Linked DNA regions of Bombyx mori. The protein of the gene in region 3 binds, or shares a complex with, the protein of the main gene of each other region. Links are inferred from orthologs where the notes say so. Each region holds a gene or a part of one and is shown on either strand. Other genes may lie near its edges.

Region 1 (4,258 bases), on a different chromosome or scaffold from region 3:
AGTCGGAGTTCCCACCTGACTGCACACTGTGCAAAGTAGATCTCCGGCAGGGAACTATCACACCGGGGGATGTTCGGTGGTGTGGCACCCCCGTCGTTCAGTCGAGTTCGAGGCGAAGAGTCCCCTATAACCTCCATATACGCAAATTACCCTTCCCTATTCACGGTTACTGTATTCGCGGCATATTTTTATTATGCTTCAACCCCGCGAATAATAAACTTTTACTGTATAGAGACTAGTAAACGTGATCTTTGACTATTGCAAAACAGCCTTTAAGAACAAGGTTAGACAGTGGTGACAATAATTACAGACTCAACAGGAAAATCTCCACTGCGAAATCGGAATCGTAAGACACCTGATGAATTTATATCAAGTGATGTGGCTATGACAAGGTTCAAAACCTCCATTAATCATTTGGATCTTATTGTGTCTTAAGACATTGTGTAATATCTGTTAGTGGGAAGTATCTTAAGACCACTTGAGTAAATAGATATCACTATTTTGGCTATTTCTGCCACAAAGCAGTCGAGAGTTCTGGTTTGATGGGCCGGACAGCCCTTATATAAAACAATTGATATTACAACTTCAGATCTCTAAGAGGGGTGATACTTATTGATTTATATGTATGTTTATATTGTAGGCATAATTTCTCACCATAATTTTGAAATGTATAATGAAGTGAATTGATGGACTAATTCAAATTATATAAGTTTGTTCATAAATCAGCTTATCTAACATTAATTACCACCATCATGTGGATTATTTTAATATTGGATAGTCAATCAAGATGTTCTTTTTATAGTGTATGTATGTATTAAAAATTAGATTATGTTCCATAGCAGAAGTATTGATACTTGTAAACAGTGATACTAAAACACCCAGAACTAAGATTAATATAGTGTGCAAAATTTTAGTAACAAAATACTTCCTAAATTTGTATATATTTGACATTCATTACTACTTGCTCACTTTATTTTTATTAAATTTTTTTGGATGTAGATGTACCTAACAATTCGCAAAGCACTAAATTACATGTATGATTACATTGAGAAATGAGGTTGAAGTCTCAAATGTATGCAAGAAGCTAAATTATTTGCTATTACACCATGCCTATTTCTGCTGTGAAGCAGATGCATTTCACTTTGAAGGGTGGAGTATATGTTATTATACTGTAAAAACTGACATTTTAGAACTTGTGTCTCAAGGTTGACGGCGGCATTGACTGTTGATGTCTCCGGTAACCACTTAACACCGGGTGAGCCATGAGCTCATCCAGCCATCTAAGCAATAAAATATACAGTTATATATTAAATAGGATTCTTGGTTACTTTCTACTTTCTGTCAACAAACCCTGTCATGCTGAAAACTTACTTTGTTTGTATTGAACAATTCCAAATCTTGCAAAACTGGCTGGAACAGGTATCTGTTAAAGAGTATACTCATATAAAACTGAATGGTAAATGATAATCAAATTGCTAATTCTGGTTTGGTACCTATTGACCTATGTAAGATGTAAGTACTGAGACTTTAGAACTAGTCTCGTGGTGGATGGAGGCAATTACATTGTAGATGTCCATAAGCTCCAGTAACCATTTTAGACCAGGTGGATCATGAGCTCATCCACCTATCTAGTAATAAAAAAATACAAGAACTAGGGAGTCCTCATTAGTTGTAGAATATTTTTCAAATTCAAATCAAATTACAGTAGGGCATAAGGGCATAGGTAGGCTCAGTTCACCCAACTAAATCTAAATTATATTAGAACCCCAAAAGCTTAGGTTAACCACAGTGACAAAGGAAAGTAATTATTATTATATTTCATGTCATTTCGTTCGTTCTGTTTATTAAAAGTTTATTCAACATATACATTACTACTCTAACTAAAAGTTTAGTCTAATGAAGCGTAAATAAATAATGTTTATAATAATATATGTAAAACATATAGTGGTTTCATATATAAAAAAATTGCGAATAATCATACCTTTGCACATTTGACCGGAACAGGTGATACAGTAACAATTTTAACTGGACTCTCTTTCGGTTCTGCTTCGATTTGAGCAATCAGTGGTTTACTTGTAGTTTCCAGCACTTTCACCACTTGAGGAAGTCCTGCAGGACATATCATCGAGTCTTTATGTATTTATAATCTAAATTAAAGACTTACTGAAGCGTCGGTGCCATCAGCTGATTGAAACAAAAAATATCTCCGTAATAAACAAACGCTGTGATGATGTTTATTTCGGCAGAATAAAAGGCGTCGAAGATAATAACTAAAGCTAAGCTACTAGTCTTGAGTTTGGTCCAATTGATCTAGGCTTTGTTTGCAATACAAAGTCTTAAATCCGATAGGAAAAACAAGTGTCACGTAAACTAAAGTAGCACCTCTACTAACCGTTAGCATCATGGATAAGGTAATTTATTGTACTATTAGTTTGGGACATTTTCTCCACACTCCTTGAATTTGGACGTCCATTTATGTTTCATAAGAACAACGTAGGACAATTGTTGATGACGAAACAAATTAAATAATACCTACTCAATTCGTATGACCAAAATCACAGGTCAAAATGGCGACAAAAATATGGGTTAGAACCAAAACTATAGCCAATTTTTGAACCGATAAATGAACCTTTTACAGTTTAAAGTTTCTATTAATATATGTAACATTGATAAACTTTTAACATTTAATTAAAGTATATTAAATGCGCGAATCCAAGCACCATCACCAACGCAGCGCGGGACGAGAAGGAAACGATGCAAGAGGCGGGATTTTTGGATTTACCAGCTGATTGGATGAGGTAGTTCACGTGGTACTATTCAATAGTTGCTAGATGTGAAAAAAAAACAAAAAGGCGCCAATTCTCAATCGCCATTTTGTTTTTAGGTGTAGATGTACGCATTTAATGTCCTTGCCATCGCAAGAATTTAAAAATGTTTTCCGAAGTGCGCCATGCATGAGGTTAATTTAATTATTAAACTTCATGCATGGCCCCATGTCTTTCTTGTTCATAATAGTCTGTTCGGATTCAGTTTCTTCACGTTGTTACGTTATTTTTCTACAATGTTATGGTCACTTACTTTTTTTTTAGTGGTATAGTATCATTTCTGATATTTTTACGATTATGAAACAATATCACTACTCGTTCTTCCAGTATTTATTGTAGAACCTTGTGTATATATAAAAACTAAGCTACCATAAAAAAGCATTTATGAGATTACAATAATTTTTTTCCGGCCCTTGTTGGCAGACGAGCATACGGCCCACCTGATGGTGAGTGGATGGACTTCAGCAATGCCAGGGGCAGAGCCAAGCCGCTGCCTACCGCTTAATACTCTCCACAAGCCTCGTTTGAAGACGTACATGTCATAGCGCACGGGGAAACATCGTGGAGGGAAGCTCATTCCATAGCCGGATAGTGCGTAGCAAAAAAGACCTCTGGAAACGCACTGTGGATGACCGCAGTGGCTCCAGATAGTATCATCTCGAACAATTCCTCAGAGCACTCCTCATGGAATATACGGTACAAAATACAGAGGGAACCGAAGTCCCTCCGTAGACCCAGAGGTTCCAAACGATCCGTGAGAATGGGATTATCGACAATCCGAACGGCCATCCTCTGTATGGAGTCAAATGGCAGAAGCTGGTATTTTGGAGCCCCGGCCCAGAGATGGGAGCAGTACTTCACGCGAGGCCGGACTTGTGCTTTATAAAGCAAAAGCCTTTGTTCAGGCATGAAGTACCGCTTCGCTCTATTGAAGACTCCCAGCATTTTGGACGCCAACTTGGCTTTGCCTTCCAAATGACTCCGAAACTGGACATCGCTCGAAATGTTGACCCCAAGTATCCCGATACTCTCGGAAGATTGCAGGGATACTCCTTGGAATTGCGGCGCCATGACTATTTAATGTCTACAAATATGATTATAGGTTGAATCTCAATAGTCTGCGGGGATGTATTATTAAATAAACATCATCAACTCGATACTTCTTAAAAAACACTATCTCAAACTCACATACTCGTTTTTCCTAAAACCAACAGCTATCGAACCATAGCTCAAACTGTTATTGTAATAGATTGAGATACCGTTAGCCCCTTAGGTTGAATGCCCAATGCAGGTAATAAATATGAGACTATAAGAACTTTAGAGGTTGAGAAACATTAGTACATGTCGATTTGATCAAACAGAGATACTTTTCTTTTTAAATATAAATAAATCAACAGTTAAAATTAAATTTTTTTAGACTGAAATTTCCCATG
Region 2 (4,215 bases), on a different chromosome or scaffold from region 3:
TGTTCCAGGAAAATATTCTCCATATTTATGAAAGGAAACGGTCATTACTCTGTCCGTGGTGTAGAAAGCTTCTTCAACACCATCACCATGATGCACATCTATGTCAATATATAGTACTCTTTGATGGTATTTCAGCAACTCCAATATGCCAAGAACAATGTCATTAACATAACAGAAACCTGACGCTTCAGACTTCTTTGCATGATGGAGGCCACCACCCCAGTTTATGCATATTTCTGAGGCCTAAAACAATTTATTTTTTTTATTTTTTATTAGGCTCACAATACACATCACAAGCTAAAGATACATAAAAAACACAAATAAAAAAAAAACAAAATCTGGCTTGCAACATAAGTTATGTGCGCACGACAAAACTATAAAGTGCTGAATTTGTATATCAACGTTCCTTACAATTACGACAAAACAACACGATAACGAAAACTAATCTAACTTATAGTGTAAGGAAAAAAAAAATTATAACAATAATAAAATCAGTACAAACATGTTTTAATTTTATAGTTATAAATAACTATAAATGAAACCTATATAACTATATAATTATAAAATTAAGAAAACTTGCAGAATCAAATTAGAAATCTCACAAGATAAGAAAAATCTATTGTTTTATTGTTTTAAAATCAATATAAACACAATTTAAGTGTTCTATTCATCTCTGACACAGTATCAGTTAATATCAGGTTGGGGCTCATCTGTCTTTAACCATTTTAAAGTTAAAACACTAAAAAGGTAAAATTATAATAATTTTAACAAATGAAAATAATACTTTCTCATTGGCATATGTAAGTAGAGGATGTAATTAAAACTACTTTTATTGTTTAATGTCATGTATACAATTGCTGTTATATTATTTCTGATTTTTTAAATAAATTACAGTTTTCATCGCCACTAATTAAACTGAAAAACTTGTTTTAACAAAATAAAATAAATAAAAAAATAAGACTAATTACCTGCTTATTCAGTTTTACAGCTGCTGCAACTGAACCCCCAGCAGACAACTGACAAAATTCATACAGGCCATCAAAAACAGGACAATCTTCACCTACATTAACTGCAAAATGTATATTAAAATTAGTCACATTCAATAAGTTGAATATTTTCCATATCATCCCTGAATGTGATCAGGCACTAATAAAGGTATGTAGTTTATAGGATATTACCCATCAGTAGATTGAGGGATAGGTCAAAAATAATTTGGTTGATGCTTTGAACTATAGGAACTTTAACAAAAAACCAATAGGATTGTACACCATTTTCACCATACTCTTTAAATAAATATGTACATTATAAAGGTTTTCTTCCTGCAATAAACAGCAGATACATTGGTTTCAACTAAACAGGCTGCAGACAAGGAGAGTGCTCATACAGGAAAGTAGTTTTTTTTCTTTATAATTTTGGTATGTTATATCTATACTTATCAAGCAGTGTGACAATTGACTGACACAACTAGATGCTGTGGTATAGTCAAAGATTTGAATTTAGGAATTTTTTTCAGTGTCATAGCAGTGAATCAAAGGAATTTTCCACAATTTTACACAAAATATGCTGTATTCAATCTATTATTTTCATCATCTTTTTATACAAATTATGAATATAGTAAGATTCCACTGTAGTAGATTCACATTATTGTAAGCTGAACATAGTTGAAACTGTGGGACAAATCTATTATAATATTATACACTGAAAAAATATAGTTTAATATAAAATAACACACTAAATAAGTAACTCTACTGTTATATTAGCTTTAACAGGTAAGTCTTCAAGGGTAATACATTTTCATTAAAGCATTTATGAATAATTAATACTTTTTTTAAATAATATTGATAATAATTAGTAATAACTTACATCTCTGCATTTGTTTGTTGTACTCAGAAACATTGTCAGGTCGAATAGAACGCAGGAATCTAATGTAATCATCTGAATGGAATTTTGTCATTTCATCAGCTGTGGCTTTGTGAGGCCTCTGTTTAAAAATATATAATTATAAAATCTCAAATCATTGAAGAACTTACACTTAAAAGGTAATTTCAGTACTCACATAAATCTCCATTTTTCGATAGAGTCCATAGTTGAGGAGTAAATTGTGGGTCATACGTATGCGGTGAGGTTTCATTGGATGCCCTTGTCCGTAATAGTAGTTTCCAATATCGCCTTTAATAAAAATAACACGCATTATTTTCAACTTTTTATTAACATGTTACTTAAATCATTTTACGGCTTCATATTTAGCCGTCTGTACCTCGTACATCGTAATACGAGCAAGTCCGTGTACCCAATAGGAACGCGGAACGCTGTACAGACGTCGTAAAATGAAACAATGAACTGAGTTAACAATGTCATAAAAATCCTAAGACAAGCTTTAAAATCTCTGAAGTTCTTAAAAGAGCTAGGCCGTGTGGAAATTTGTATTTAAAATATGAATACTACGCATATTAATTATTTATAATACAAAAACTAATTCTTAAGTTACTAGCGATGTAATGGAGATCCGTGGCGGGTAAAACTTTATTTTACTTACTGTCATAATAGTAACACACTCTTTTCTTACTGTGCGGTTGCATAGACATTTTTAATTATTTCTTCAACGGTTACTTTTTAATAAAATTATTACAATATACTTAAAAATGTTAAAGAGAAATAAAAACCACACCGCTGTGCTTTAATTTGACAATCCACACAAAAAAACTTCATAAAATAATTGAAAGATGAACAAAATGCAACTTCAGAGTACGACAATTTCATTACAGTGAAGTTGACTGACCTAAAAGTTACAGATATTCAATGAACGAATGAATGAATTGATTAAATTGAATGATTTTTAGTAGATTAAATATAGAAATCAAGTGAAGCCACAGTTCACAGTAGGTAGTAGCATTACAATCATAAGCATGAATTACTTGGCAGCTAGAACAGCCCCTTAGGCCAGCGATCGGCTTGCGGCTCGCATGCTGCTCTTTAGCTCCTCAACTGCGGCTCTTCCGCGAAATGTTTACCTAGTTCAGGCACGGAATATCCCTCATTATCTTATTTTTTTAAGAGAAGAGCAAACACTTTTAAAATACAAGGTTATAAAATTCTGTTAGAAAAATGGTTCTTTGATTAAATTTCAATTGTGTGTCTCTCTATTTGGCTCCCAGGGAATAGGCAGGGGAAAAAAATAGATGGTAATATTAATAGATTTTTATTGTTAGTAGCATTTTTTTTATTGCTTAGATGGGTGGACGAGCTCACAACCCACTTGGTCTTAAGTGGTTACTGGAGCCCATAGACATCTACAACGTAAATGCGCCACCCACCTTTCTAAGGTCTCAAGTATATTTATCTATATTGTTCAAGGTAGCAAGTTCAAGTTCCAAGTGGAAAAGTCTATACTGAGGGAAAATTTTCATATCATCATCATCATCATCATCATTGAATTTATTGGCAATATACTTATGCTGACAACCATACGGTCTACTTGATGGTGTGTGGTCACCACAATACACAACAAAACTTACCTACTGCATTTTTTATATAAAATTTAATAGAACCATTCGTAGAATTCCGCACGTTGCCTCTTATGTTATTAGAAATACACGGTCAACATAAAGGATACGATATTCTAAAAAACTACCACAGCTGAATCTTTATATATATATATATATTCATTTTTTTAGCAATTCATTTATCTATATATATAAAAATGAATTGTTGTTCTAACTTAGTCTCGCTAAAACTCGAGAACGGCTGAACCGATTTGACTAATTTTGGTCTTGAATTATTTGTGGAAGACCAGAGAAGGTTTAAAAGGTAGATAAATATGAAAATGCTCGGAATTAAATAAAAATAACAATTTTGTTTTTCCTTTGATGTGTCCCCGGTCGGGTGAATTTCTTTTTTCTTTCATTGATCGATTGAGGTACTACGAAGTCTGCCAGGTCAGCTAGTTTTAAATAAAATTGTAACAAAATGTATCTTTGGGAATTGAAAGATTGAAGAAGCTGCAGTTTACGGCAAGTGCGTAATTTTATACTCCTTACGTACATTCCTAATTATGTCCAAGGAAATGGTAGAATTCACCTTGGAAGGTAGAAGAAACTTAGGAACTAGAAATCATATTAATATTGTAACACTGAAATTAGTTCACGTGAACTTGTAGCAAAGGTTTCAGGAATTTGTACCTTAAAAATTTTCATTCTTCAATTCAACTTAAGGATG
Region 3 (2,957 bases):
GCACACAACTGAGCACACTGAATAACTTGACATTTATAAATAAATTTAAAATTATTTTGCTGTGAATTTAGCATAATTTTTTTTTGTAATGTTCAAAAATCCTTTAGCAATTTATGCAAAGGATGTGACAATAAACTCAACACTAAAAGGATCAAAATTGACACAATATATTGGAGATTAAAAAAAAAAACATCACTTGAATACCAAAAATATTTGAATGCAACTGACCTGCCCAGTTGCTCTGAATGCCGAACTTCATATTTGTTGGTCATATTGAACTGTTTGACACCACAAAGCGCTTTATTATGAACGTTAGGTGAAATGACCTACAATAACTCAGAACGTGCGAACGCAGTGTTACGTTCCACGTGTAGTTACCGTCCGCCTTATTTATAGCGGTGCTATTTTTAACCCAAATATTTCGCCCGCTAAATCTAAGTAACTGGATCATTGTAAAGTTACCATTGTTACAAACTAAAAATGAAATAAAACAAAATAAATTTTCTGTAAAAATCCATTTATCGCCACTATACACTATAATTACCTTCCTCCTAAGGTATCCTTAAGACTAGTAAAACATATTATTTACAGCAACATTATTTACATTTAAAAACAACAATAAAAATCTCTTAAATTGATTTATAAAAGAATCCATTTTCAAAAAGTAGATACAAATATTCACAATTAACTACGTTTACGAAACTTGTCAAGTATTTATTTATAACAGTCTTTTGGAAGCAATTACACTACACCTAAACTTTATATTTAATATTGCATTTATGTTATTCATATAATGTTTACATGTAAAAAGGTTCTATTTATTCCAAATTAAACTACTGTATTCGTCAGATTAAAATATTTACATTTAATTTCTTTAAAAATGTCAAGACGTATATTTGGTACGTAATATCTAACTGGTTAACTAAATTTTAGCAAGCAAATTGATTTTTCTTATAAATAGAATGGCTGGTTGAATAAAAGATATTAGCCGTAGGATGACAGTACGTTATTTGAGTAAAGTTAACCTAAGGTTTTGCGGAGTTTTAGAGATGTTTTCATCTTCAGCGCTGGCAAATTTCAAATCTGTCACGTTTGTCCCTGTGATAAAATCGATATGTATTAAAATAATATGTTTTGTTTATGTAATCTATTATTTTAATATCGGTTTAAGGAAGGATTCCTTTCTCCCTATATCTAAAGGGATAACTTTTGTAGACTGGAATTTTTTTTAAGTGAAGAATTATTGTAATGATTAGTAACACATAATAATAATAATTGTGAGCTATCGTTTCAACGGCTCACAAACCTCAAAGAAATTTCTTAATTTACTGGAGCTACCAGTTATCAGTGGCTGATTAAAAGTCCAGAGCGCCCTAGGCAATCACTTTATCGGCGCCACTGTACCGGCCATAAATGGCTATTATAATACTATAAGTTTTAACTAGTTGTTTTTGCAATTACGATGACGTTGTATCATCAAACCCTAGACTTTAGTAGACCAGGACCCTTGTACTTACGCTAATGCGCGAATGAAATACAAACAAACCTGCAATATTGTATAAATACGAGTATATCGATGCTTGTGCGATGTTATTTTCTTTATTTATTAAAAAATTCTGAGCTTGCGCTCCCCTTGTAACTACACGCCCCTAGGCACGTGCCTAATTTGCCTTACGGATAATCCGCCTCTGCCAGTTATACAGTGTATATGTTCCGGTCACGACCGCGTCACGTGGCACTCACCACATCGAGCAGCAAGGAGTCGTGATGCGAAGCCCCGATGATCTCGTGCAGACAGCGCGCGAACTCTTCAAGCACGTCTCCGAGCGCGTCACGGGGCGCGTCACGCGGCGAGTCACGGGGCGCGTCACGCGGAGAGTCGTCCCGTCGCTCCACGGCGGCGGCCACCAGACACTGGCACACGGCCTCGATCACCTCCATCGTCATGAACGTGCACGGATGTCTGCAAGCCACATTAGTTTCAACACTAACAATCGCGACAAGGAAACAAATGTTAAGGGTAAGTTGTTATCTTGTGAATACAAAACGAATGTTTACCAGAACTCTACTGATAAAAGCAAAGCAGGCAAAGCTCCATTGTGACTGTCACTGGTGTGAAGTACACGCAAAAAAAAACTTGGTGCACGTGAATGAAGTGAAACTTCTTTTTCGATGTGTAGTATTGTGGTTTTCTTCATTTTTCATCCTTAAATCAGATTGCTCTTGTAATAGGGAATGATGTGTATAAGAAATGCCACATCTTCAACATTTATATTATATTTAAAATTATCGGTTTTTATTTATTTATTACTTCTTTAAAATATTGGACTCTACTCGTTGCTAACGCTCGCGCTGGCCTGTAACAGGTTATATTACGCGCGTGCGTTCGAGTGCCACGCATTCACTCTCGCTCTATCTCTTTCTATTTCATGGTAGCGTTAAACGTTTAACGCAACCTTGTTGGAAGTCACTTTAGAAGTTTCACTTCAAACATTAGTAGGGTGTTAAATATTCCTTGAAATGGTTGCTAGCGTGCCTCGCCTATTGAATACTGACTTGGGCTGCCCCAGCAGGGCCGGGCGGAAGGTCGAGTCGCTGTCCTGCGTGCGGAGGCGCATGTCGCGGCGCCGCTCCACCAACTCCTGCACGTTGCGACACCCCACGCACTTACACATCGCCGTACACGCTATCTTCGCCTGCATACACACCACATAAATGAGGTCGTCATTATATGTTAGAATTGTATAATTTCTAAACGCATCTTTATGTTAATACCAACTGACAGCTGTCACTCGTCTAATATGTGTCAACGTCATTCGTGTGCTCGCCCCTTTTTCTTCTAGCGCCGTCAATGAGTACTGACACAAAAAGTGTATCTCCGTTAAAATAAAAACTATCCATGAAAATCTGCATCTTTATTATAAGAAACCCAGACGATCACTCCAACATTATAATAT
Region 4 (4,291 bases), on a different chromosome or scaffold from region 3:
CGAAGGGAAAAATTTATAGATGAATTATTGTAACTTTTATACCGTAATTTATAAAAACAGAGATTGGAAAAAAGTTAGTTAATTAACAATGGTGTAAATTTTTGAAAAATCGATATAAAATTTTTTTTTCACCGAGGTTTTTTTCGTTCAAGTGTTTAGATTACACCATAATTTATTCAAATTTTTAAATTGTTATTTAATACTATAAAAAAAATATTTTAGGTGATATACCGGCTTTTTAGACGGCGCGCCTATGGCGTAACGACCTCGCGGAGCGCTATTTTCAGCGTTAATTTTTTTTTATAAATAATAGAGATAGAATTCTGGAAGTTGGGACTTTTTTATTGGAAATTTCCTCCTCTTTCAGGATCTTTTTTTCAAAATTCCTTAAATATCATTATTTTAGAAATAATTAAGGAAAAACCAAATTCCTTTTTTTTTAAATCTTATTTTGTTTATAACAATCGCAATTTTTTATGTGCTAATAAGCCCTTAAAAAACATTTTTGTAGACATCATTCCGCATCCAATGAGCTATCGTACATATTTTTAGGAGCTTTATGTCTATTTAACACGTTTTTGAACTTGTTGACTAGACTATTATATTATTGTTTAATATAACCATAATATGTTCCCTAACTATTCGCTAGTAGCTAGCTCACGGGCTCAACCTGAGAGAATTTGCTAACACTAGGCATAACAAGAGCAGTACTTCGAAGAATCTACCACCGGATCGGAATCGCGACCCACTGAGAAGATCCGGCGGGAAACTCAGTGGGCAATACCATAATACCTAATAGCAGTTTCGAAAAAAGCCAAAACAACTTGACACTTACCTCTTTGGTCCAAGGGCCTTTGACTAGTTCAGGGTTGACGACTTTCGTCCATCTTTGAAGGCACTGAACGTCGGAACGGTCAGGAAACTCGGCCGCTATGCGCTCCCAATTCTCTTTGTAAGTCCTAACATATGCTTTTAGTTTCTTGTCCTGAAAAAGAAAGCAAGATTCTTAAGTTCAGGTCTGTATCGACACTACTTTTTTTTTATCCTAGCTAAGCTGAAGGTCTTGAAAGACCATTTCAGCGCAACCTTAACTAGTAGGTGAGCTCACGGGGCTCAAACCTGACGATGTTGCTAACACGAACCCTAACAAGAACTGTGCTTCGCAGAATCTAGCACCGGTTCGGAAACGCGACCCACTGAGAAGATCAGGCGAGAAACTCAGTGGGCTGTGTCTGTTTAATCCACACTACCGACTTAACACCTGAGCTCCCTAGTTACTATGCTGAGTTGCGCCTATCTTATGCCAATTTCTACCGCAAACCAATCATGTGTTCCAGTTTGAAGAACATGTTAACATGGGTGTACATTGTACTATGGTGCCCATAAGCTCGATCCTTCACATCGGATGGATCGTGAGCTCATCAAACGATCTATGACCCTCAATTTCCCCAGTGACTGGACAGAAGTTACCACTTACGTTCGGAAACTAGACTTTTTCGTCAACAATAAAAGAAAACCCATGAGATGAATTCCTTTGTAAAATTACGACACAAAATTAGTCCGCAGCGATTGCGAATTCTTACTGGACTGGAATTATGTAAGGTAGTTCCTTCATTGTACTTCATAACCGGTTATTCAATACGCGATAATGCACGTGGAAAATGTTGGTTTCAATGACTCTCATTACATTTGAAAAAAAATTACAACAAACTAGCCTATGTGCAGAGATGTATTATGTAAAACTCGTTTTTCGGAATTCAAATTAGCCGTTTTCAGACTGCAAAGGTTATTGTTTTGCATAAACATATGATTTCAAATGAACAAGCATTTATAAGATTGTGTAAGTAATTTATAAGGGTAGGTACTAGCCGACCCGGGAAGCTTCTTAGTGTCTCAATCGATAAATAAAAGATCTAAACTTTTATATAGAATAAACTTACAACAAACAAAAGGAATCCGTCCGACGGGGAAGACATCAAAGGAAAAACAAAATTGTTATTTTTATTTAATTCCGAGCATTTTCAAATTTATCTACCTTTTAAAACCTTCTCTGGACTTCCACAAATAATTCAGGACCAAAATTAGCCAAATCGGTCCAGCCGTTCTCGAGTTTTAGCGAGACTAACGAACAGCAATTCATTTTTATACATATAGATAGATAGATTGATTTGAAGCAGTCATTCGATGCAGTTTTAAGTACGGGATAACCGTTATTCATTACAATTGAGGATCTTATCTCGTGTCTGAATGTGAAAGCTTTAACCCTGTGACGTCTTTAAACTCTAAAAACCATGAGGCTTTGTAGATTTATTGTAACTTCTCATCTCCTTTACTGGGCCACATTTGAACAGACCAAGTGATGCTATTTGCTAGAGCCTAGCGTTCCGTTATCGATTCCAAGGGACTGATGAACCGCTTGGTAAAACCAAAGCCAAGCCTAATACCGAATCGCGCCGTATCCAAGAAGTACCACCACGACTGTTGGGCAACAAAAACGCGAAAAATCATTCCTCCAAATTATATTTGGGTCATAGCCCCAACATTAACGCAAGAATTTCAAGTTCAAGAACGTAAGCCATTTCATTCTATTATTAGATACAAGACGTTTACGGACATTTGAGTTTTGCGTTGGAACATTTCTAAGCATTACCTCCTCTTTACTCCACCTTCCCCTGTTGATATTCTTCCTCGACCCAGTGCTTTTGGTTGAAGTCTGCACATCCTCGTAAGCCGCCGTCGAGTCCTCTGAATATTCGCTCGTCTCGCTGTCATAGCCGCTTTTTCTGTTGACAATGAACATTCAGAAGCTATAGACAAATGTGACATTAAATTTTAATGACGATATTTTTTTTTATTGCTTAGATGGGTGGACGAGCTCACAGTCCACCCGGTGTTAATGGTTACTGGATCCCATAGACATCTACAACGTAAATCCGCCACCCACCTTGGGGCATAAGTTCTAAGATCTCAGAATTGTTACAACGGCTGCCTCACCCTTCAAACCGAAACGCATTACAGCTTCACGGCAGAAATAGGCGGGGTGGTGGTACCTACCCGTAAAGTGTAATATAAAAGTAATTCCACAGATTGGCGACTGGCCTAATAAATAATTAGCACATACGCTTCAAGGACTAGTCGTTATCCCTTTCTCACTTAGAATTTGTGTCACGCTATATTAACCTAATAAATACAAAACCAAACCTTAACTACCCAGTTTCATACGTAGCATCATACGGAATAAAGCACGCACACAACATTTCTTATCTCAGAAGACATCATTTTACAAAGAGCTTACCGAAACACTGCCTATCGCGATAAGGACTAAGGGACCTTCATGTGTATAGCTAAGAATATTCACTTTTGTGGACACATCCACGAGTGTCTTATTGCTGTGTATTACGCTTTTAAAAGTATGATGTGTGGTCTATTTTTGTAACTAACTAAAAACGATTCATTATAATTCCAGATGAAATACAGGTTTGTAGACGGATTGTTGCCGACAAAAGATATCGTGGTACAGCAGTGAGTTTCTCGTTTGATTCGGTTAGCATGATATAGTTTTTATTGTTGTGTGAATAAATTCAAAAATTTTCTTACAAAGTAAAAACAATTCTTATTTAAAACTAGACGAAGACAAAGCTAATGATAAAAATAAAGCCTTACTAAATGCAATTTTTGATCTAATAGATATATGAAGTTAAGAATGTATTTCTTTACTGGTGAACCAACGAAGTTTTTTTTTTATTGCTTAGATGGGTGGACGAGCTCACAGCCCACCTGGTGTTAAGTGGTTACTGGAGCCCATAGACATCTACAACGTAAATGCGCCACCCACCTTGAGATATAAGTTCTAAGGTCTCACAATAGTTACAACGGCTGCCCCCCCTTCAATCCGAAACGCATTACCGCAGAAATAGGCGGGATGGTGGTACCTAGCCGCGTGGACTCACAAAAGGTCCTACCACCAGTAATTACGCAAATTATAATTTTGCGGGTTTGATTTTTATTACACGATGTTATTCCTTCACCGTGGAAGTCAATCGTGAACATTTGTTGAGTACGTATTTCATTAGAAAAATTGGTACCCGCCTGAGATTCGAACACCGATACATCGCTCAACACGAATGCACCGCACATCTTATCCTTTAGGCCACGACGACTTTAAGGACTGTTGACAGCGACATACAGTGATGCGTTACCTTAACTGGTGGGCACAAAACACAATTGGTCAAATCGTCTACACCAGTCTACTCCAAGTAATTAGACTGTTGAGTCGACCATGACCGTGAGC

Evidence for each region.
Region 1: protein lin-54 homolog (region 3) and transcription factor Dp-1 share a complex: the UniProt entries of both Drosophila melanogaster proteins name them as parts of the DREAM complex. The link is inferred for Bombyx mori from reciprocal best matches to the Drosophila melanogaster genes mip120 and Dp.
Region 2: protein lin-54 homolog (region 3) and histone deacetylase HDAC1 share a complex: the UniProt entries of both Drosophila melanogaster proteins name them as parts of the DREAM complex. The link is inferred for Bombyx mori from reciprocal best matches to the Drosophila melanogaster genes mip120 and HDAC1.
Region 4: protein lin-54 homolog (region 3) and Myb share a complex: the UniProt entries of both Drosophila melanogaster proteins name them as parts of the DREAM complex. The link is inferred for Bombyx mori from reciprocal best matches to the Drosophila melanogaster genes mip120 and Myb.

What each region holds. Positions count from the first base shown.
Region 1 is NC_085110.1:8,925,314-8,929,571, reverse strand, and holds the start of transcription factor Dp-1, read right to left. Parts: upstream 2,801-4,258; 5' UTR 2,442-2,800; coding exon 2,393-2,441; intron 2,110-2,392; coding exon 1,982-2,109; intron 1,424-1,981; coding exon 1,372-1,423; intron 1-1,371. UniProt on the Drosophila melanogaster protein: Component of the DREAM complex, a multiprotein complex that can both act as a transcription activator or repressor depending on the context. In follicle cells, the complex plays a central role in the site-specific DNA replication at the chorion loci.
Region 2 is NC_085117.1:13,611,294-13,615,508, forward strand, and holds the start of histone deacetylase HDAC1, read right to left. Parts: upstream 2,801-4,215; 5' UTR 2,586-2,800; coding exon 2,537-2,585; intron 2,170-2,536; coding exon 2,057-2,169; intron 1,982-2,056; coding exon 1,864-1,981; intron 1,070-1,863; coding exon 969-1,069; intron 244-968; coding exon 1-243. UniProt on the Drosophila melanogaster protein: Catalyzes the deacetylation of lysine residues on the N-terminal part of the core histones (H2A, H2B, H3 and H4).
Region 3 is NC_085109.1:10,692,804-10,695,760, forward strand, and holds the end of protein lin-54 homolog, read right to left. Parts: intron 2,697-2,957; coding exon 2,557-2,696; intron 1,964-2,556; coding exon 1,744-1,963; exon of another isoform or gene 1,696-1,743; intron 1,099-1,695; coding exon 1,087-1,098; 3' UTR 501-1,086; downstream 1-500. Other genes in the region: SET domain-containing protein SmydA-8, read right to left, coding at 229-272. UniProt on the Drosophila melanogaster protein: Component of the DREAM complex, a multiprotein complex that can both act as a transcription activator or repressor depending on the context. In follicle cells, the complex plays a central role in the site-specific DNA replication at the chorion loci.
Region 4 is NC_085134.1:9,635,498-9,639,788, forward strand, and holds the start of Myb (Myb transcription factor), read right to left. Parts: upstream 2,801-4,291; coding exon 2,651-2,800; intron 986-2,650; coding exon 836-985; intron 1-835. UniProt on the Drosophila melanogaster protein: DNA-binding protein that specifically recognizes the sequence 5'-YAAC[GT]G-3'. Component of the DREAM complex, a multiprotein complex that can both act as a transcription activator or repressor depending on the context.